Styela clava: one gene and its partners. The protein of the gene in region 1 purifies or fractionates together with the protein of each later gene. This does not show direct contact. Links are inferred from orthologs where the notes say so. Each region holds a gene or a part of one and is shown on either strand. Other genes may lie near its edges.

Evidence for each region.
Region 2: the proteins of E3 ubiquitin-protein ligase arih1-like (region 1) and cullin-2-like purify together in Homo sapiens (affinity purification with western blotting; 3 studies listed by BioGRID and IntAct, with this or other methods). This does not show direct contact. The link is inferred for Styela clava from reciprocal best matches to the Homo sapiens genes ARIH1 and CUL2.
Region 3: the proteins of E3 ubiquitin-protein ligase arih1-like (region 1) and S-phase kinase-associated protein 1 purify together in Homo sapiens (affinity purification with mass spectrometry; 4 studies listed by BioGRID and IntAct, with this or other methods). This does not show direct contact. The link is inferred for Styela clava from reciprocal best matches to the Homo sapiens genes ARIH1 and SKP1.

What each region holds. Positions count from the first base shown.
Region 1 is NC_135257.1:11,826,414-11,833,667, reverse strand, and holds E3 ubiquitin-protein ligase arih1-like, read right to left. Parts: upstream 3,169-7,254; 5' UTR 3,085-3,168; coding exon 1,540-3,084; 3' UTR 886-1,539; downstream 1-885. UniProt on the Homo sapiens protein: E3 ubiquitin-protein ligase, which catalyzes ubiquitination of target proteins together with ubiquitin-conjugating enzyme E2 UBE2L3.
Region 2 is NC_135263.1:12,286,124-12,294,327, reverse strand, and holds the start of cullin-2-like, read right to left. Parts: upstream 3,244-8,204; 5' UTR 3,097-3,243; coding exon 2,978-3,096; intron 2,347-2,977; coding exon 2,244-2,346; intron 2,088-2,243; coding exon 2,047-2,087; intron 1,760-2,046; coding exon 1,606-1,759; intron 1,162-1,605; coding exon 982-1,161; intron 531-981; coding exon 420-530; intron 1-419.
Region 3 is NC_135260.1:7,446,157-7,453,578, forward strand, and holds the start of S-phase kinase-associated protein 1, read right to left. Parts: upstream 3,128-7,422; 5' UTR 3,076-3,127; coding exon 2,905-3,075; intron 1,177-2,904; coding exon 1,033-1,176; intron 1-1,032. UniProt on the Homo sapiens protein: Essential component of the SCF (SKP1-CUL1-F-box protein) ubiquitin ligase complex, which mediates the ubiquitination of proteins involved in cell cycle progression, signal transduction and transcription.

The DNA of each region.
Region 1 (7,254 bases):
CTTCTTATAGAGCAGCATAACAATTTAGAATACCGGTATTCGAAGTTGTCATAGCATGATATTTCTTAATCCAAAATCAGGGTATATTATTTCATTTCCCAAGTTATTTGTGTATTAGATGTCAGAGCAATGATATATAATAAACTGTTGATGATTAGTTAATGATATCATTAACCCAAGATAATACCAAGTCTTTTATCAAATATGGCAATAGCTTGAATGAAACATCAGTATAAATCATAGTGCGATAAGTTATAATAATAACAAGAATACAGAATGAGATTAACAGTCAATCTTCTTCAAATAAATACCAACAAATATCCAACAAGAGGGTGATTTCATTCAATTACAGTTATAAAAAAACAGCTCAAGTAACGATCACAAAACAGATCAAGTTAGTCTCTATAGTAGGGATGGCGAACAACTGGCCCATGGGTCACAAATTGACCCGCAATATTTTTCAGCAACCCGTCAAAATTCAGTGTTGCAAAGAAGGTACTAACAGTTATATGATAAAAATTTTGTAATAATTAATTTCATCCTGAATTATAAATTATTATAGTAGTTCCGGTATATTAGTATGCTGCAGGCAATAATGCTGTTATGACATCATAACAATACGATTAACCGAAACTCCCACAGGGTTGAATCTATTCGTGGCAAGTCGTTCTGTTTAAGACAGTGGTATTCTATCGTAGGTCCATTAACGGGGCCAAAAGAAGATTTTCAGGGTATCCATTATCGTATTCCTACAAATTTACAAACTAAGCTTGGAAAGCAGTAGCGTAACCTTCTGGTAATATTATAATTATAGTTTAAAACAATGTAAATGCATGGCTGACATTCTTTTTATTTGTAAAAAAAAATAATGTATGACCCAATCAACAAAGTAGGTTCACCATCCCTGGTCTATAATATATTGTGTATAGGAACTGAGAATTTGCCAGCCATCGCTTGTTTTAAATGGAGTTAAAAGCTGAACAACAAACAGAATATCCACCATATTCAACCTTTTTGAGGCAGATTAGATAGTTCTAAAACATGTAACACGTTGAAATTGAAATAAATAGTATCAGAAAACTATAGATTCTAGACTAATGATTTATTTAAATACGATCATCCTCACAGCCCATCGCATTGTTGGCCGCTACCAAACTGTAGGTAGACCGTATGAGAAGCATTTATAAAAAGAAGTAAGGTAGATATTATGTTTGTGAATGAGCATTTTATACGTTGTAGCTTAAAAAATTTGCTTGCTTCAAGATTATTTTATAATTGTTCACGTTTTAACAATTTGCCAAAAATCTCATATAGCCATCCATATAGGCAGATACAAACTGATTTTTATTCGCATATTACAATAAACTGTCATGATGTGCATATTAATGAATTTGTATGCTTTGGGGATTTTATGGGCTGTCTTATATAGCAATATTTTTGAGTCACCCAGTTAGGTATGACACATTTCTAGTTATGTGAAAAAGGCAAAAACAATGTGCATATAAAGTATTCATCAGCATAATATGATAACAAAACAGTTTATACTTTGTCATTAAAATCCCACAGATCACTTTCATATCCTTCATAAATATGGGAGAGGAGCAGCTTCCGTCTATTAGCACAGTATCTGTATTTGTCTTGTACTTTTTGCTTAATGTCCTGCACAGCATCAGTGGTTATGTCTCGTTCTAGATATTCACTGAGAACTTCTGTTGCCTTCTCCAAATCTGCTTGGTTGTCTTCAAATATAATGGATTGGTTATTTTTGTTGAGAAAAAAAGCAAAAACATAAGTGTACATTAGCATTTGACGACACTGGCAGAGCACATCAACAGCATGCTTTAGAAACTGCACTTCAATCCAGGACATTCCATGCTTTTGCATTTCTTCCATTTTGACTTTCACTTGCGCATAAAGCTTGTGTTCAAAACGCAAACTCTGCAGATGGTTCATATATCTGTTGCAATAAAACAAGTACCGTTGTAGAGCCTGACGTGATTTCTCTTGACAATCTTGAGCCTTTTTAGCATCTTCTTCCTTGAATCTATTACAATTGTACCAAGAAGAACCATGCGGCTCCCATGGTCCCAGACAGACCCAACAGAACTCATGTTTGCAGCTGACACTTCGACACACCATATGATTACAACCACCATCTTTTTCAATGGTTGCAAAACATGCTGGGCATTCTTTTGTGTTGGCAGCTATCCAATTGTATGTTTCACTGTCATCATCACATTTTTTGATCCATCTTTTCAAGTACATACATAGTACCGGATCGTGCCATGACTCTCCACATTTAAAACAAAATTCTTTACCGCATTGACATTTTACTGGCCTTGCATCAGAAAATTTAACTCGAACAACATTGAGACAATTTGGAGCTGGGCACCACCTCAGCAAGGAATTGCATTCAACAAATGTGTTAGATATCAAATGGAGATATTTCAATCTAACTTTCTTGCTGCTGATTAAGTTCATAACAATTTCATCATTGACAACAATGTCACAACCATATGAAGGACAACTTATAGTCTGTGACATTCCTTGATCCATAATCTTTGTGCGAAGATACTCTGTCCAGCAGCCTTTACAGAACTTATGATGACATGCTAAACCAGTCATAAAATCATTAGAAAAAGGTAAACAGCAAATTTCACAAGTCATATCGCCATTTGAACCGGACTGACTAGAAGCATTTCGATGGTGTGAGGAGAACGGATTAACGACATGAGCATCGTCAAAAAATTTCTGATCATTTCCTTCACATCCATAATACTTCTCAAAAAGTCTTTCTTTGTCCCACTTAAAATGTGCGAGTAATATTCTAAGTACAGTTTTATCCATAGGTATAATCTCAGCCACTTCGTGTACAGTGACATTCATTAAATCCACGACACCATCCGGGGTAAGACTGTCATATGCAAATCCATCATTAATGTTCCCATCAGTGGAAAATGGAATTAATCCATCAGAGTTTTTATTGCGGTGGTCATCTTCTACTCCCTCATCATATTGATACTCATCCCAATCAGAATCTTCATCCTCTACTTCATCTTCACTATCATATTCAAGATCATCCATGGTTGATAGATAGTAAAATAGTGATTGTATTTTATTGATTTATGTGTTCCCTGTATTAGTAGAAATCGATCATATTGAGTGTATGAGACTGAAGAATCTGGGATTATTAAGGTTACAGGGCTGGGGAGCCAAGGTCGTAACTTTTGTTGGGAGTTGGATCCAAGCTTACCATATTAGATAGAGCGGAAGTTTTTAGCAACACAAGCCCTAACTATCTATTAATTTTTTCATATGTATCATTTTCTAATGCTTCATATAACTATTAAAATCTACACCCATTTGAAAGTTTCCTAGTGAAATATATTTATATTTAAATTTTGAAACCACCATATTATAGTTTTAAGTCCCGCCTCCATTAAACTACATTTGGGTTTATGTTTGGTAGTGGTCATACCAAAAAACTTTATTGGCTATAGAGCCGGAGTCGAGCTCAGAAGTAAAGAAATAACGGATGTTGGAGCTACTGTCAGACTGTGGTTTCAAACCAGCTCCCCAGCCCTGGAGAATACAAACAAACAAAGTAATACAAAAACGAGAATATCGGCAGAGACCGAAGATTTATCGATCGAAAGTTAGGGGATCCCCAAAACAGCGCTCTTACTCCATAGTGACACCTTGTGTCCCATCACTAATTAATTAATAACTCGCTAATTATACGACATAATTCATCCAAAATCAATAGGCTTCTGGTCCGACATATGATGAATGCACATGCAAAATCTGTAGCAGATTCAATCTCACTTTCGTGAGATATCGTGTGCATCTAACATACAGACAAATACCTATCAACATACTTACCGATTAAAACCGATAAGTAATAATGTAAATTACCTCTTACTGTTTAGTGACTTTGTAGAACTATAAAATAGTTCATGCCTGGGCTAAAAATAGGCCAATGAAGCGATGAAAACACATCCTTATCTTGTCTAGTGCCTAATTCATTTATTACACCCTTGGCTGCTGAGTCTGTGGGTGGATGATGAGCACACGTCCATAGATCTTTATGGTTAGAAATTGTGCTAAAATTAGGTCGAGCTTAACTTTCCTAGGCTATATTTTTTATTTGGGTCTTATGTCTTATTATTATGGGTCTTAGCCTTATCATTTAGCATGATGAGCACACGTCCATGGATCTTCATGGTTAGAAATTTTGCTAAAATTAGGTTGTTCTCAATCTTATAAGAATTCGGGTCTTATGTCTAATTTAGTAATGAAAAAATTAAACTGATAAAACAAAATACTTTTTGTGACTCCCTGACTCCGTTTTATTAGTCCCAGTCTTGTATTTCTGTATTTTAGCTTTGAAGTGATTAATGATTCTGATGATATAACACAAAAAGATACCTCGGTACACTGCAGCTGTTCAACGTTTTAACCTCATTTTAGGCCATGTACAGATGTCAGGGTCTTGTGTAGTTTTGTACCCCAATAACTTCTAGTGGGCATGGCAAAACAATTTTTTCATACATTATTCCTAACCCCCACCTGACTACGACATCCAAAATTTATGTCACTACAACGACATAGTGACATAATAAAGCCCGCCAAAATATACGGATGGTCGTCCAAAACGCGCACACGATCACCCGGAATCAATCAAATTATTTCTCTCGTTTTCTCGTCGTAACGGTCCCCATACTGCTGTACTGCTATATGCAGATATGACTGTATGAGAGCGATCGAAGTGTTAGCGAGTTCGTTATCGTCAGCGGAGATGCCATTTCGGGCGATTATAGCTTTTATTTGGCAAGCTCTATGACGTAATTGTGACGTCGTACTGAGGTAATATATGGATGACGTAGTCAGGTGGGGGTTAAGAATACTATATGCAAAAATGAAGTAGGCCTACTAGAAGTAGACCTTACTTATTACGGTACTGTATTATGGCGTTTAGTGAACATGCGCCGAAATTTTTATGTGTTTTGGGCAGAATATCAAAAATAACTAACTGATTGTTTAAAGCATTTTAACGTTAATGTCTGAAAGCGTCTCAAGTATACCGGTATGCATATGAAACAAATACAGAAATACCGGTAGGTACCGGTACGTACGTTAAGTTAACTATTTCCATGAAAATCCTCTTCCTCCACTGTCTAATTCGTTTTGTACCGTAACACTTACCGTAAACTCAAACTCATAACTCTCGTCAAACCACTAAAATCGCCATTCTTCCATTTATCGATTTATGAAACAGAAATAAAATTAAGTCTACTCCTGAACTTATTTCTGACCCGATTCTGCGATTGGAACAAAGACCTCAATGGAGCAAGTGTCAATCAAATCTGTTGCTACGTCACATCAATGACATTAAACAACATGATAGGCAACTCTGACGTCACTCCATAAGACTACAGGCAAAACATTGTATTTCATGATACGCTCCAATGCACATATTTCTCGTCGCCTTTCGCGTCCGTTTTCCGCTCGCTTTTGCTACTCGGCGTCTTTTTTACGTGTAGTACCTGCCTTTTTGCGCCTGTAACGAAACAAAATAATCTCTATATCTAAGAAGTTTTGCTTACTTGGAAAGCTGGAATAACAGGCAAGCTGTAAAGAGCAATTCTGGACATCATAGACGTTTTTTTTTTATCAGAGAAGATTACAAACGCGATAGCGGAAAGATTTGTGTGGAACATTTTGCAGATAATGACAAAGTTCAAAGTTAGTAATTTTAATGTTTGCGCTTAATCATTGAAATTTCATTTAAAGAGGGTGTCATACAAAACTGTGCTGCGATACAATTCCATAACACAAAGTTTGCACCTATCGAACTTGCTTTTGTATGTGAATTTATTAGACATATTACATATTCAGTTAATCGTAGGTAACATTGCTGGTACATAATGCATCGTAGATAGGTTTGTTTAAATTTAGGAATTTAGCTCATAGCCCACTAATTAATATTATCTTCTATGCAGGAGGTTGCAGGGCTGAATTCAACTTGCAGCCTTACCGATCACCTGACGATGCTCATTTAGTTTGGCTCGAGCAAGTCTTCTTGAAATGCTTGTGTGAATGGAAACTACCTATATTTTTTGCCTTCCTCCGATTTTAGACAAATTTATTCTGAGGGATTTCGCATATAATTCTCACTGATTGTTGGCTGTTTATAATTCCTATTGATTGTGAATTCTGATTATAACAATGAGTTGAAAATTTTTTTACCTAATTTACTGGCACCTTTTTCTTGTCAATACTCCAAGCTGAGGTAATAAACATGACAATACATTTATGTCATCTGGAAGCAAAATATGCACACAAATTAATAGTTTGGCACATTGAGATAATACATCATGACAGAAAATACAAGTTAAAGATATGTATGACCATCACATGGTAATTAAAATTAAAAAAAAATAATAGGGGCTGTGGAGTATGGAAAGTTCAAGACAAAGAAAAGAACAAATGTTCATAGAACATAGCTCATATATTGTGATGCAACTAAACAGTTGGATTAAGTTTTATTATTTCCTTCAATTTCAAATGCAATTACATATTAATATTTGCATTCCACTATTATTGCAACATTTGCAAGTTACAGTATTTATTATAAAAAATCGTAAAATTCTATGTACAACCATCAAAATCATTTTTGAACAAGCTTTGAATAAGGAAAGAATAATACATACACTAAAAATAACCTAATCTAAATATATGAACCTAAAATTAACAAAAATACTACAGTATAAACTCAATGTTTTAATAATTACATTCGTCCTGGCGTTTGGCATCTTTTTTGTGTCACCAGCATACTAAGGCCAGTCTGAAATGATTTTTTCGACAAGACATTTCGCACTACCTTGCGTGGCATAGGATTGCTTGAATTATTATTGATATTGATTTTTAGTAACTAAGTCGTTGTATAATTATATTAAGCGTTTTAGCAGGGTTATTGGTGTTTTTTGAAGGTTTTTCACTGTTTTTAAGCGTTTTAGCAGGGTTAATATACAAACACATGGAAATTTTCTGTTCGAAGTTGGTCTTCGAATTTGTCATATTGACTGCTGAGCTTATTGTGTTTTTTGATTGTATTGATGGAAATATGACAAATTAAACAATGTGCTTCAGAATTTTGTGAAGAGCAGAAATGTTACAACTCCCATTTTCTTCGAAAATGCCACCTTCTTCGTGTACTTTGCGTTTAATTTAATTACTCAAGTGTTTTATTCA
Region 2 (8,204 bases), on another chromosome or scaffold:
GACCTCTGAATTCGAAATTGGTTGAATTTAACCTAAATCATTCATGGTCACACTGGAATGAATAATGATAAGAGGATTAGATGACGTTGGTATGAGAGGTTAAAAGCCTTAAAGGTCCCAAATTCAATCATATGCTAACCACCTTGTAACCAGGATGTAATATTTTGGGTAGATATTGGCTAAATGGAAAGATTTATGTCCTCAATAAACATTAGATGCTTACATACCAGTGACTGTTTGTAGCGCCTTGCAGAGAGTAAAGGTATGAAATAAAAATCATTTATTGGAAATCAAGTATACCATCTTGATACTTAAAATGAAATAACAATCAATCTACAAGTGAAGAGGCAGCATATATATTCGATCCCATTCTGCATATAAAAAATAAATATTTAGATATGCCACAAAAATTCACTCACTTTTTCCATATACAGTGAACAATCCTCGCTTTCAATGAATTCACTTGCTTTCATTTTATAATATTCGACAGATCTTGCCAAATACTTCTCTTCAAAACATTCTTCATAAAGCTGAAGAAAAATAAAATAAAATGGTCATCTTCGTGGTTGCTAAAAAAGTTTGCTATTGATTCATGCAAACTTTTTTTGTTTCAATTAACTGGCGAAGTCCCATCTGACATCGTAAGCTGATAATTATTTTCCAGTTGCAGCATGAAAATAAACTACCTCGATAAATATTTGATGATAAAACCGGCTGTAATGCATAATTATAGAAAACATCCTATACTTGAAAGTTGAGTTCAATGGTAGTCACACTTTCGTTTATTATATAATTTAGGTTCTTTTGCTTCAAAGACAAAATAACAAATTCTGTTGTCAATGGCAATGCATCATATTTATTTACTTCTCTTTATGAAACTCTGAACATCAAATATTCAAATTAGAATGACTTATTAATTGTTTGACGCATGACTCATCGATTGGGCCTCTTCCACTAAAGTTTTGCAATATTATTTCTTACCTTCAAAGGTTGCTTCCTCCGATAATGTTTGACCAAGACAAACGACTGAATAACTCCATTTATTACGGCTTTGTCCACAGTGTGTTTCGCCCGATCTTCATCAATAAGATTTAAAAGAAGTTCAACGAGTTTGTCTGATACTTTTTCTATCATAACCGTGTGCCATATATCCAAAGCAAGCTAAGGTAAGCAAATAGAAGCATTTTAGTAATTTGGTGCTTTGGACTGGACTTGGCGACAGTCGCAAACTTAAAAAAAGTGACATCTTGTATAAAAACATGTTAGTATCGAAGTGGTAAAACATGAAATTATATACATCATATCTTCTTCTAAAAAGTACTCCACTAATTTATTTCTACAGGTATCATTTAAAGTTAGTATAAAATCAATTATTTCTATGTCTAACAAACAAACATACCATATTTAACAATGCACATATTTATGTACATTTCCGCATCAAATACTGTGAAACATGGTATTTGAAATTTGAATGTATTCAGAACAACACAACTAAGACTATTTTTATACAATCAATACACCAGATATATTTTGAAAATGACTGTTTTTACGTACTACCGAATATACAGAAAAAACTGTGATTTGTAATTGAAAATGTATGTTCACCTCTCCAACCTCCAGCATTGGATCTTTCACATCGAATGAAAATTCATAATCGAGATCAGCCGCAGTTTGTTTATATTTTTTAACATGTTGTTGATTTAAATATCTGAATAACTGATCAAGATATTGAGCTCCTCTGCTATATTCCACCCAATATCTATAACAGAAAAATGTACAAATTAACGAATTAACTTTAAGATAAAATCTTGGCGCTCCAGAAGTGTGTATACCAATATGGAGGTAACTAATTTTGTTCGCCTACTTTAAATCAAGTTGTGTGATGGGACTGAAACCTATGGGGAAAGTATATTCACTTGGCTAACACAGACAGTCCCCGAACTCTTAATAGAACTGAAAAAAGATAAATCGGAAATAAACTATGGCCTAACCCTAACCTGGTACACACACTACTAATACTACTACACATACTAATAAATTTCTCACTTGTAATATTGTCCCAAGAGATTTTCAGATGCGTTCATTTTCTGAATAGCAAAAATAGGTATTTAGAATACATGTGATATATATAAGACGTACACTGATAAAAAACAAACATTTCTTTTTATCCATGACCCAGACTCTGGGTTGGTAAAATTTTAATTAGTTTATAATATCTTTCTAAGCATTACCATATTTCATACCTCATATAGTTGTGAAACATGATGCTCCAAAAATTCTTTAATTCCAGAATAAAGTTCATTTGTCAATGGCTCAGGACGAGCGATGCACAATGCATAGACATCCCTTATACAGTAAATGCAAAATAATTAAGGAAGATAACTTAATTTAAAGATGTAGCTTACCACATTAAAACTCTATGACTCGGAACAACCCTGAAAAGGGCCCAAGCGATTGCACTATTATTATTTTAAAAAGTAATACAGGCAAGCAGAATCAAATCGGATGACGGACAATAAAATCCCATAATAAGATAGAGTTAAAATATATATTATTACCGGTATGTTACAATTTAAAACAAATGAAGAAACTTATTTTTGATTCAATTAGTTATAAATAGCAGGGCCGGGGAGTCACTGTAGCTTCGGCTCCAGAGCTTCATTTTTCTATGCTGGCTCCGGCTCCAGCTACATAGCGATTGAGGTTTTGTATGTCTGACCATTACAATGTAACAACACAAATTTTCGCAAAAAATGGGACTAAAACTGGGGCGTCAAGGTTTCAAATTACAAAATTAAACTTTAAAATACATAAATCCAACTTAAAACTTTTGAATTAATATTAGAAAATGAAATTTAGAAATAATATATAAGTTGGAAATAGATCCCCAGCTCTTGATTAATAACAGGAATACAGGATTATTTATTATCTGAATATTAGATAAATACAATACATTTAAATATTTGATAAAGGATACATAAACATTTCATTCCATGTTGATCGTTGAACAGGATTCGAAGTAACGACATTGTTCATTGTTGCTGACAATTTCAGCCATGTTGAATTGAAATCAACAGATCTTGGCTTCAAAGACATAGTTCAGCATTCAAGCAGAGGGTATAGCAGTGTAGATTTTGTAGATGCCGTAAACACTACTTAAGGCAGTAAGGAGTTCTGGGAGAATAGTTTATACAGATGTATATTACCGGTAAATAAAATTACATACAGGTGCAAGGTGTGGACAGTTGCCCAGCTATCAGCAACATACTGACATACGGCACTGCTGTACGGTACTGCAGTACTGACATACCTTGGCAGTGTACTTATAATTTGAATGTTATAACAGTACCGTATAACTAATGCTAGCCTATATTCAGATATTTCAACCTTGTTGTATATTTGTATTGTAGATTTTGAAGTTGTACTATGTGTGATACCCAGAGAAAAGAGGTATTATTTATTTATTATGATCAGCACAACAGACAAGACAATACAGATAAAAACAAATAAATAAAAACTGATTATAGAATCACTGAATCAGGAGACCAGTGGTACGGTACGGTATCAGTACAGAATTTAAGTTCGAAGGTTTTGCCAAAATACAGAAATAAAGTGGTATGCTAGTCTGCATGTTTACTTAGGATAGGATTTACATATTTCAGTATTTATCCCGGGGGAGAGGAAAGCCGATAAGACGGCTTATCCAGATGGCGAACCACGGCCTCTCGTCCGGTTACCATTCCAAGTCGGGTATGGGATTAGTTATATTGTTTGTTTTCGGAAGCATGGACTTGGTGGTGGAGGAAGCCGTACCGTAACCGACCAGCGGTTACGTGAACCACCCAACGACGGCGAGGAGTCCAGCAATCCTCTCGCACATAACCATCCCTGCATGGGATTCGAACCTGCGAACCCACGCAGAGTAATTAGAGGTGCGGTGGCGAGCGTACCGGTATTCCTAACGCTTAGCCCGTTGAGCCACACCGCCGCGCCGAACACTGTAACATAAAACACACACAGATATATTAATGTGAGAAAAATGGAGACAGTTCAGATGAATTAGATCTAGATCTACATCCGCAGACTACTGGACTAGCCTAAATACCGGTACCGGTAGTAAATAAATACAGAAATAGCAAATGTTTAAATAAAATTACGGACACCCTGGTAATAATTTTCACACCGGCTGTCAAATTGGATGACGATTTTATAAATAAGAGTCAACAGTGAAAAAAGATATTTAGTAAAACCACGGAAAAAGAACCACAGATTTAACAATAGGCTACATACATGTCCCCACATCACTTCAAAGGTGTATTAGAAAGCCCCTTCTCGTCATTGGTGAAACCCAAACCTTACTCTGCAAGAATCCTATTGGTCCCTTGCGCCACTACGCCCTCTATACACCGTCGTTTGCCCGTGCCTCATGAACGGGCTACAGGTGAAACCATGTCAACAAGAGTGTAAGCATATATTTACGGTGTAAGTAACGTAATCAAAAAAACACAATACGCCGGAATACCTAAACTTTGTTTTTCCACGACAGGGGACTTGTTTAATTTAATTCTTGTTTAATGGGCACAAAGATTCTATTTGTCGTATAAGTTGCGCTGGTGAAAAAAGAAAATTGACATAGCAAGAAATGCAACTGTGGAGTCCAAAAAATGAAATGACGTCTCAAAAACGTTGATGGATCAAGTTATTTATTCCTCAGACTTCACACTGAAGTCAGATGTGCACAGAAGCATTTACATACGGTAGCATTTATTTACGGACAGAAGTATTTTTATTATAAGAAAACCAGCTTAAGATTAGTCCAAGCTCACTCACTCAGAAATTCTCAGCATTTAAATACGGTAGCATTTATTTACGGACAGAAGCATTTTTATTATAAGAAAACCAGCTTAAGATTAGTCCAAGCTCACTCACTCAGAAATATAGACCGATCACTCAGGAAAGAGAAAACGACCTCGACTTGGCGAAAGTACAATTTGTGGTAATCAAGTTGTTACATTGCTATGGACCTTTCCCAGACCTTTGATCCCCGAAAAATTCTTCCTAAACTTTACAAGTGCAAAATTTTTGGAGCTATTTTAAAAGTGCATTTGCGAGTTGGCGCCTATAAAATGGGGTATGTGTTTCAAACCATCATTATGATTTATCGCATACAAGAATCTGTTTTTCAAAAGTACCGGTAAAGAATTTTAGCCTAGTCTATCACAGCTATGTCTACACTAATTTTGTATTACTGCAATTAAATTAAAACTTCTAGGAAGACTGAATGCTGTTTGAATTATTTGATTTATAGTTAAGTTTCCGAAACACAACAGAAAACTAACGAATGGAGTTCAAAAACGCGAAAACGAGGTAATGTTTACGACCACGCTTGAAAATCTGTCTGAGTGAGAAAAGTGTCTGAGCGGATGCGAAAAGGGAGTATTGTTACGTCACTTTTCGCATCGTGCTGATTGGCCAATGTCACGAAGTAAGTAAGGAAGTCGATGGTCGAGGAAATGTCCACTGTTACTTCATAATGGTGTGTACCGTTGCGAGCTGTTTCGCGTCACGTGGAAATGCCCGTAAGTACAAATGCTTTTGGTTGCGTATCCAATTTGTATGTGAATGCTAAAATCTGTCGATCTGAATGTGATGGGTGCAATTGTCTATTATTGTCTAATGCACGCGGAATCAAAAGTATAGATGTGAATTTTCTTGGATGCATGGCATGTATTATATATCTGTAACTGACATGCCCACTTAAACGTTTATGTGTTTATTACTACTTTATACTCATTAGTATGTTTATCCCACGGCACAAATGGGAATGCATAGGGTTGTAAATGTTCGCGGGTGCAATTATCCATGGGTGAAAATGTCTGTGGTATCAAAAATCTATGGGTGGAAATATTTGTAGGTGCTATAGCCTCAATAATATATTTCAGGCTAATTTGTTGTTGGTTGGATGTTTCCTCTGTCACCAGACGTCGACGAATATCAACTGTAGCGCCTCGACTGTTCAGTCTCCCCAAGTCTTTGTTTGACACACTTTAACGAGGCAATGTCTTTATTATTAGCATTTAATCGTACAACGATACGGTCGCAAAACAAATGAATGATCCAGTCGGGTCCGAAAGGATAAAAAATCAGTAATATTGAGTAACGTATATGCTGATTACCAATAGATGAAAATGTACTAATCAAGTATGGAACATAGGTAAATTATATTAAAACTGGTTTGTCATTAAGAAATGTCTTGGGGCTATTCAAATCAATTATGACCAGTACAAAACACGTTGTGGTGGTTTATATTTTTAAGAAAACTAAATTGACTAGTTTTACGACGATTCATATTATTGATTTGAAAAATAACAGTAAAAGGTTACTAAAATAACAAGATTATCCCCATAGTGCAAATGTCCTTAGGTGTAAAAGTACGTGGGTGCAAATGTGACGGGTATAAATGTCTGTGAGTGTAAATTCCTCCGGTACAAATGTAAGTGGGTGCAAATATATTGCAAAAATAAAGTAGCGGCCATTGATAGCCCTTCTAGAACTTATATCTGTACTAAAATACTCATAGTTAACGTGGCATAGGACTGTATCAGAGGACCTTCACTGACCGGGCCTAGAACCATTAACTATAGCCTGGAGTTTTTTTGGTATTTATCTGAATAATAGAAAATCTGATGAAACAATTTGAATACCGAGCCACAGCACCTGGACACGGAAATAGCTAACTCAATGGACCTTTTCCCGAACTTTGAACCGCTGGAAATTCTTCCTATGGACCTTTCCCCGAACATCGACTTCCTTGTTTTTTTCGTGGCATCGGCCAATCAGCAAGATGCAAAAAGTGACGTAACAATACTACCTTTTCGCATCCGCTCAGACACTTTTCTCACTGAGACAGATTTTCAATCGTGGTCTTAAACATTACCTCGTTTTCGCGTTTTTGAACTCTATTCGTAAGTTTTTAGTTGTGTTTCGGGAACTTAAATATAAATCAGATAATTTAATGATCACTCTGTCTTCCTAGGAGTTTTAATTTAATTGCAGTAATAAAAAGTTAGTGTAGAAATAGCTGTGATAGACTAGGCTAAAAATTCCCCACCGGTACTTTTAAAAAACAGATTGTTGTATGCGATGAATCATTATGATGGTTTGAAACACATACCCCATTTTACAGGCGCCAACTCGTAAAGCACTCTTAAAAAAAAACTGAAAATTTTGCAATGGTAAAGTATAGGAAGAATTTTTCGGCGGTCAAAGGTCGGGGAAAGGTCCATACAAAACCATTGCAACATTTTTGGTGTTTATTTTAAGAGAGGTTTCGCGATTTAGTGCCTGTAAAATGGGGTATTTGTTTCAAACCATTATTCTGATTCATAGCATTCAGCAATCTGTTATTTGAAAGTACCGGTAAATAAGTTTTGCCTAGTCCAGTGGTTGTTAAACTGGGGGGGTGCGAGATGCTCACTTGGGGGGCGAGAGGTCATGAGATGGAATCGTAAATTTACATGTAACGGTCTCCGCGTTCGGTAAAAATACCGGCTTTTTCGTGGTATGATAAATTTTTCTGTCTCGTAATAACTACAAGAATTCAAAATGTCTCTCTATTTTAATTCATTTGTGTTCAGGGTAACTCGCGGTTGCGGCGACTCATGTCAAAATAAACTCATTACCGATCTAAAATATCACGCCAATCCGCGGACATATTAAAGTGTGATCAACTGCCCGATTATTACTTATCGATCTTAAGATCGGTAAGTATATTGATAGGTATTTGTATGTCTGTGTGTGGGTGTGTGTGTGTCTGTTAGATGAACGCGATATCTCACGAACGCGTGGTTGAATCTGCTCCAAATTTTGCATGTGCATGCACCTTACCTCGGACCAGACGCCTATCGATTTTGGGTTAATTATGTCGTATAATTAGCGAGTTATCAACTAATTACCGATCTAAGATCGATAAGTCTTCGGTCTCCGACCGATATTCTCGTATTTAGTTTTGATATATATTGCACTCATGCGAATTCGTCGTCTCCATTAGAAAGATCCAGTATAATATCCCAGAAAGTATACTTAATTTATTACAATTAAAATACATATTCATCGACTCGGAATCCCCGCGGTACGAATCCTGAGTCAGTCCTCGAGATTACGCCAGTCGTTATAAGTGCCGACTTTGTCAACGGATATGTAAT
Region 3 (7,422 bases), on another chromosome or scaffold:
ATTTTGAGGCTTCTTAATTTTGCGAGATTTGATGGAGCGCATTCGCGATGAATCGGAGGCGAAAAGTGTGAATGCTCGGCGCCAAGATGTCGCGTAAGACGGCTTCAAGATGTCGCAATATGACGGCGGAAGAGAATTGCGTAATGAGCCAACGCAGCTTTGTATACGGTAGGCTACAAAGTACAAAAAAAAAACTTTGTATACGGTAAAGCGATTGAGACGGCATAAAAACAACAAAATTTCTCGCGGACCGGCAAAAAAGCTTCGTGGACCGGCACCGGTCCGCGGACCGGCGGTTGGGAACCACTGCTTTAAACAAATATAAATTGTCTCAAGCAAATCTTTAGTAATGACTAATGTTAGTGAATTTATATGCTAAATGTTACTAAATGTTTCATAACAAAGCATCAGGTATTTTAGTAATGTTTTCTCCTGTCGTCCTGTCTGTATTTTATTTATAGACGAGTAAGGTCATATAGAATAACCAAGAACAAGGTTGATACTTGTAATATTTAAACCAATTGAACCTAGGTTATGCTTGTCTTCCAGGTGTCTCTGCATTTTGTTTGTCGGTTTGTTGTTGTTTTGTTTTATGCCAGAGCAACCAAAATGAAATTGATTGATAGATTTGAAAGATTGACTAATGCAATGCAATCCAAAGTTGGTACTCCCAAAGTTTATATAATACACAGATATTTGATGACGAAACATTCAACCATCACCATGTGTAGTTTACCCTAAGCTAATCGTGTTTTCTTTTTTACTTAAATAATGTCTCTGTGCTTGTGTGTGTGTGTGGTGAGTGCCTGTGTGAAATAATTATAATAATTTTAGGTGAGTGAACACGTACCACTTCTTCTTGGCAAAACCTTTCATCTTACATTCTGTAAGTTTTAAGCCTTATCTAAGGTCTTGTTTGCTTTCCTGATTTCATATTCAGTTTTTATCTATTTGTTTTTATCAATAATTTTATTGTTATGCTGATTATGGAGTCGAAATAACTTATACTAACAAATGACAATTAATACGCACCACAATGAGTTCGAAAAGCGTTCCCTGATCAACTTTCAAAAACTCTTGATCCCAAACCGGGATATCATCAGTTCTTTTTTCCTTATTTTCATCATCTTCTGGTGGAGGGGGATCATCTTTGTGCTGTGTGCACCACTGTAATACCTGGATTGCAACATCAAAATAAATTTTTTGTTGAATAAGACTGAATTGACAACACAATGAATCGATGATAACACTTAACAGGAAGAAACAGTGCAGAACAGAAGAAAACTATATAAAAGAGATGGAAAATGTATTTCACATTGCTTTGTTTTGTACACTAGAGATGCATTTTTATTAACTAACTGATTTAACTAACTAACTTTAATCTGAGATAAATACCAATTTTAATTAACAAGAGAATAGATTAGCCACTAAGAGTAACTCAGATTGAGATCTATAAAACTAATTGGTGATTATAATTATTCAAAAACCCATTTCCTACTCATGATACACAACTCAAATAGTATATAATCAACCAGTTACGCCCACATTACTCCAGTACCATCTAGTATAATCAAGAGTTAAAAAATGTTTTCATCATAAAACATGCATAGATAATGACTAGGCCTGGATAGTTACTAAGCCAAAATGTGAGAATGTAAGCCTATTTATGCGGTGCGTCGCTTTATCATGCTAAGAATTAGCAATTCCCACTTGCCACAGCACATCCGATTACCCTGCCTAGGTTCGAATCTGTCGGGGATAGTTACTACAGGGGTGGTGACTCCTCTACGGCCCATAGGCCGGGGCCACAGCCCATCTAATTGGGCCACATGGGCCATGGCCCATCAAGCTATGGGCCGCGGCCCATCAGAAAACTTTCAATTTTTACAAAATTGTCAATATTGGAACCAAACAAAAATCGCGGCATGCCACCAAACCTTTTTCCTGCGATAAGCCTTTTCATAAAAATAAAGCAAAATACCAAGCTACAGAAAAGGATACACCTGAAGTGTGTGTACCAGGTTAGGGTTAGGACAAAATTATGTTCAGATTTTTCATATTCAGACATTATAGTTCTATTATGAGTTCAGGGAGTGGGTAGGATTTAGGTAGAATTTACATATTTATTAGTCTTTATTATTTTATCCCTTTACACAACTTGATGGGCCGCGGCCCATAGCCTGATGGGCCGTGGCCCTGGCCCATGGGTTGTAGAGGAGTCACCACTTCCACTCGATAGTTATGTGCGAGAGGATTGCTGGACTCCTCGCTGCCGCAGGATGGTTCACATAACCACTGGTCAGTATGGCTTTATCCGCCATCAAGTTCATCTAACCAATCCCATACCCGATATGAACTGGTAACCGGTAGGAAGGCTGTGGTTTGCTATCCGATCGAGTCATCGGCTTTTCTTCCCTCGTAATTAATACGTAAATCCTATCCTATATCAATCTACAATAATACAGTAATATCAATTATCGATGATACACCACCAATTATATCGCTAAGCCCATATGACAGTAACAAATTGAATTTAACTTGCTCAAATATAAGTTGGAAGCTAAAGGAGTGCTGAAACCTTCACAGAAAAAATTCGGTACTCCTGAAGTATGCGTACCAAGATGGCGGTGGCCGGAATGTATTATGTGTACCAGGTTAGGGTAAGGCCATAATTTTATTCCAATTTTTCTTATTTTAGTGCTATTACGAGTTCGAGGACTAGCCGAGTGACTCCCGTAGTATTTGTACCTGAAATTATTGCCTAACTCTAACCTGGTACACATACTATATTCCGGTGTCCGCCATCTTCGTACGTATACTTCCGGAGCACCAAAAACAGAAAAATTCATATGAAAAAATATTACAAATTAATTAAAAAACCCAGTTATAATTATGATATACCACCTTTCTCAAGATTGCGGCATTTGTGTTTGGTAATGGAATTGATTCTTCGTCATCACCAGGTTCCATTCCTAGATCTTCCAACATAGTCTTGATGGTCATAGATTGTTTGGCAATATCAATGTCTACATCAAAAACATCTCCATCTGCACTTTGTAATTTGATGGAAGGCATTTTTGCTGATATCACTTATTTATATCACTCGCTTATTTAAATATATTTGCCTGAAATTACAAAATGAAAAGTTCATAACATGTACTAGACTATATTGAAACAGGTACCTAATGTTTCCAGTACGATTTATTAGCTGTCCTCGAATCAATATAAATGCAGAAATGTCTACCAGATAACGACTGTTAAGTTGTCTGATTATTATGCTGCTCAGTTCTGTCCATAGTTGCAGAGTTAAATTTAGGATAGGATTCACATCTTTATCCCGGGGAAGCAGAAAGCCGATAAGACGGCTTAACCCCATGGTGAACCACAACCTCTCGTCCGGATACCGTACCAGTCCATGGGGATTAGATACGGTAGCCAGTTATTTGTTTTCAGATGCATAGACTTAATATCCAGATATCTGTTGACCTCTTTCAGACTATGTCGGATATCTGGATACCGGTATGGGATTAGTTAGCCAGTTACGGTACCGTATTTGTTTTCGGAAGCATGGACTTAATAGTGGAGGTCGCCGTAACCGACCAGCGGTTACGTGAACCACCCTACAGCGGCGAGGATACCAGCAATCTTCTCGCATATACGGTAATCATCCTGGCATGGGATTCGAACCCGTGAACCCTCGCGGAGTAATCAAATACAGATTTCAACTATCGGTACGGTACCGGTACCAGTACCGGTACTGTTTCTACATCACATTCTTATTTGGTATCATTCAAGCAGTTATCGCGTTTACTTCGCACCAGCAAACCAACAGAAAGCGATTTCCAGGCTGTCAAGTGTCAATGTTAGATTAGGTCGTTCTTGCGTACGGTACCGTACCGGTACCGGTTTCGTAAGACGACCCGACCGCGGATGCTCTGTCAACATCGTACCGGTATACTTACAGACTTATATTTAGAATATTCCAACCAAAACAAACACACATTAATACGAGTACGTACAAACAATCTACCGGTAATCATTATGCAGATACATAACGGCCGCCGAGAAAAACGACAAACGCGCCCGCAGTTTCGACGGTTCATAACAACGAAGAACAAACGCTTTTTCGGCAAGTACAGCCTACTGGACGTCGCGTCACGTGACAAGTGTAGCAACACCAGACCAAAGTGACTTTGCACCAAACAACACACCGCAAGTCTGTTGTAAAACTTCACTTTCACTGTCGTAAAGTGCTATGTTACAGGATCGTGAAGGATAGGATTTTACATATTTATCACGGGGGATGGAAAAACCGATAAAAAAGACGGATTAATAATCATATGGCGAACAACTCCTCATGGTGACAAATATTGGGCAAGTTGGAACGTTTTACTTATGGATACAGTTTTGGCTCCCGTAGGCCTACATTTGAACCCACGTACATTTGAACCCACGACAATTGCACCTGCATACTATTGCACCTATTTTACTATTTTACTATTTTTTTTGTTTTGTGGATATTTGAATCCATACTAACCCTAACCCATGGGTAGCACCTGTATATAGATTGAACTCGGGGATATACACATGGGTTCAAATGTACGTGGGTTCAAATGTACGGTCACCTACAGTTTTGATTGATTTGGGTTAGGGTTAGAGTTTAAGTAGATATAATAATCAAATTCAGAATTTCGTTCCAAACTTATGCAACATTTGTTATCATCATATTAACCAAAATCTTTGTTTTGAACATATTACTGTTTCGGAGTTTATTTTTTTCTAGGGAATTCGGTTACTAAGATGGGCTACTAGAGACTATTTGGATTGGAAGTACCAACAGGAAACTCCGAAGGATATCAGATCACCACCCAGTAGATGGCGATTTCAAACTCCGCAGGCTACCTCAGCAGAATGCAATACGAAACAATGAACTGAATTAATATTTTAACTCACCCTTCTAATCTTATTATCATGCTTAATTAGACAAAGACAATAAAAACAGCAAATTAGATTAAAGATAATAAATTACAATTACATCAAATTTGAATCCAGCCATCAATAGAAACAGTTCTCTTTGTCAAAGTAGCATGCTGGGCCCTTTCTTTCTCATATAGGTCATGGCACAAAATCAAATATATTCCTCTCTTCCTTCCCCCATGAAACTACATTACTCTATTGTGATCCTAATACAATTAGGGCAATCCATGACATGGAAACAATGCTTCTTTTTTATAAAATGTTAGCCTTAATTCAATAGTACTTTTATACATTTATTTTCTTCTGGAAAAAATGCAATCATGACAGGCTTTGTTGAAATGCTTTTCTTTAAGTTTATTTTTCCTTTAATTTTTACCACATTCGGCTTCAATTTTATAAATAAAACAAGGATACCTAAGAATTTGACACTCGAACTGAAGTATTTCAACAAAATCTGTATGGTTCACATTTTTGCTGAAATAGATATATTCTATCAAATACTCTACTAGCACCCTTGAGTGACGCATACAATATAAGCATAAGAACCGCAAATTTATCTCTTATACTTCGCCCATTCATACTATGTCTATATGGTCTCACCACTCAAAAGGCGCTGTATTTACGCCTAAATTTTGATTTCATTGTTATGTATATGTTTATTTGGTGCTGTGTTGTCTCCATTTATATATATTGTCTTGTCTTATAACAGGGATGGCGAACCTTTTCCGATGAATAGGTCAAAAATTATATTTTTATCGCGGAACAGAAGAGAGTGGGTCACAGATATTTAATCAATGTTTGTATCTATAAGAAACTTCTGAATCAAATATTGTAAGCTTCTGTTGGTGTTGGTGTGGTTTTAGGATAATGCAGCATTTCTATTATGGACTTTTTATGGCACTCGATTTCATGAAATTAGAGTACGAAAACCCGCATATTAATTACCAAAAAAGGTTTAGGATGATGGGGAAAATTTATTTACGGTACCAAATAGTTTAGACTCTTAGAGGGAATTCCACTCTGATAGTGTTATATTTTTCGATCTGCTTCCAACCACATTAAAGCACTTTTACACTGCCCCATTGGTATTTCGGATTCTAGGTTTTTATTTCAAGTCTGGAAGATTTTGTTTTCTCAGCGGCATTGTAGATGAGAAACTAGTGAAATGCAAAGTAGCATCTAGTTCTCGTATAACCCCTAAAAAAGCATGCAGGTGCACTTCCGAAAGAGACAAGGCGTTGCGAAAAATGAACAGATCGCTTGCATTGTTATATCATAAACGATGTCAGAGCCAATAGCTGAATAACGGTACACAGCGGTGCAGACATGCGTCAAAGATTAGGGGTTTTGAAAATTATCATACCGGCCCGAAAATATAAATTCGAATATGAGCGATCGCAGCCTTGACTGCCCAACTGACGGTACATTATAGTTTAGTTTATAGTTTTATATAGTTAATAATTTAAGGCCGGTTTTATCAATTTTTTAGCACTGATATGTTAGCATTTTTTTATTTCATTCGTGCCTTGGTGGGTCACGAATAAAACGACGTGGGTCACTTTGTGACCCGCGGGTCAGTGGTTCGCCATCCCTGTCTTATAAGCTCCCCTGTATAAAGAGTTTTGTATACACCACCCGTACCACTTTCACCACACCAAATGATCCTTTGCCCCACATTGCACAACTGTCTATATAAGGGACCATATTATACATATTTAATATGTTTTTTGTTTTATATTTGTCAAAAAGGGTGCATGCCGCACATTTGTGTTTTAGGCCGGTACGGTCTTGTGCATGCATCCCGTCTTAAATAATAATAATCGTTCATTTATTTGTTATCAATATTACGAGACGAATAAACATACATACATACATAATTCCGCATGATCAGTTAAAATCTGGTAAATGAATTTGCGAATATACCGTTAATACTGATTACTTACTCCGTTCCGACGGTCGTCGGGTGCGGACGTGTCTGCTGAAAAGACTAGAGAATTCTACGCGCTGTATGTTTCGGTATTTGTATCGCGTCATATCAACAAGAGCAAAGCCCATCCATCGGAATTAATGGAGTATATGAATAAAAGATTGGATTCAAAGTTAAATGGAGGACGATCTGTAACGGGTCTATTGCGAGGTTTCGATCTTTTTATGAAACTGGTTGTGGATGATGGAACGGAGCGCAGCAAAGATTGGACCACTGCACCTGTTGGAATGGTGGTCGTTCGTGAAAATTCGACATTGGAACGGATACAATGATTTTGAATTGAACTAATCGAAAACGACAAAATAACTCGATACCCCAATCCATGACTTATGCATAGACTGCTATGGAACATTCAATCTATTTACCAAGCTTGTTTTTTTTTAGGAACAATTTTTTGTCACTGTGTTGTTTTTGCAATGAAATTGAACTAGGCCTACAGCATCACCGTTTTGCGTCAG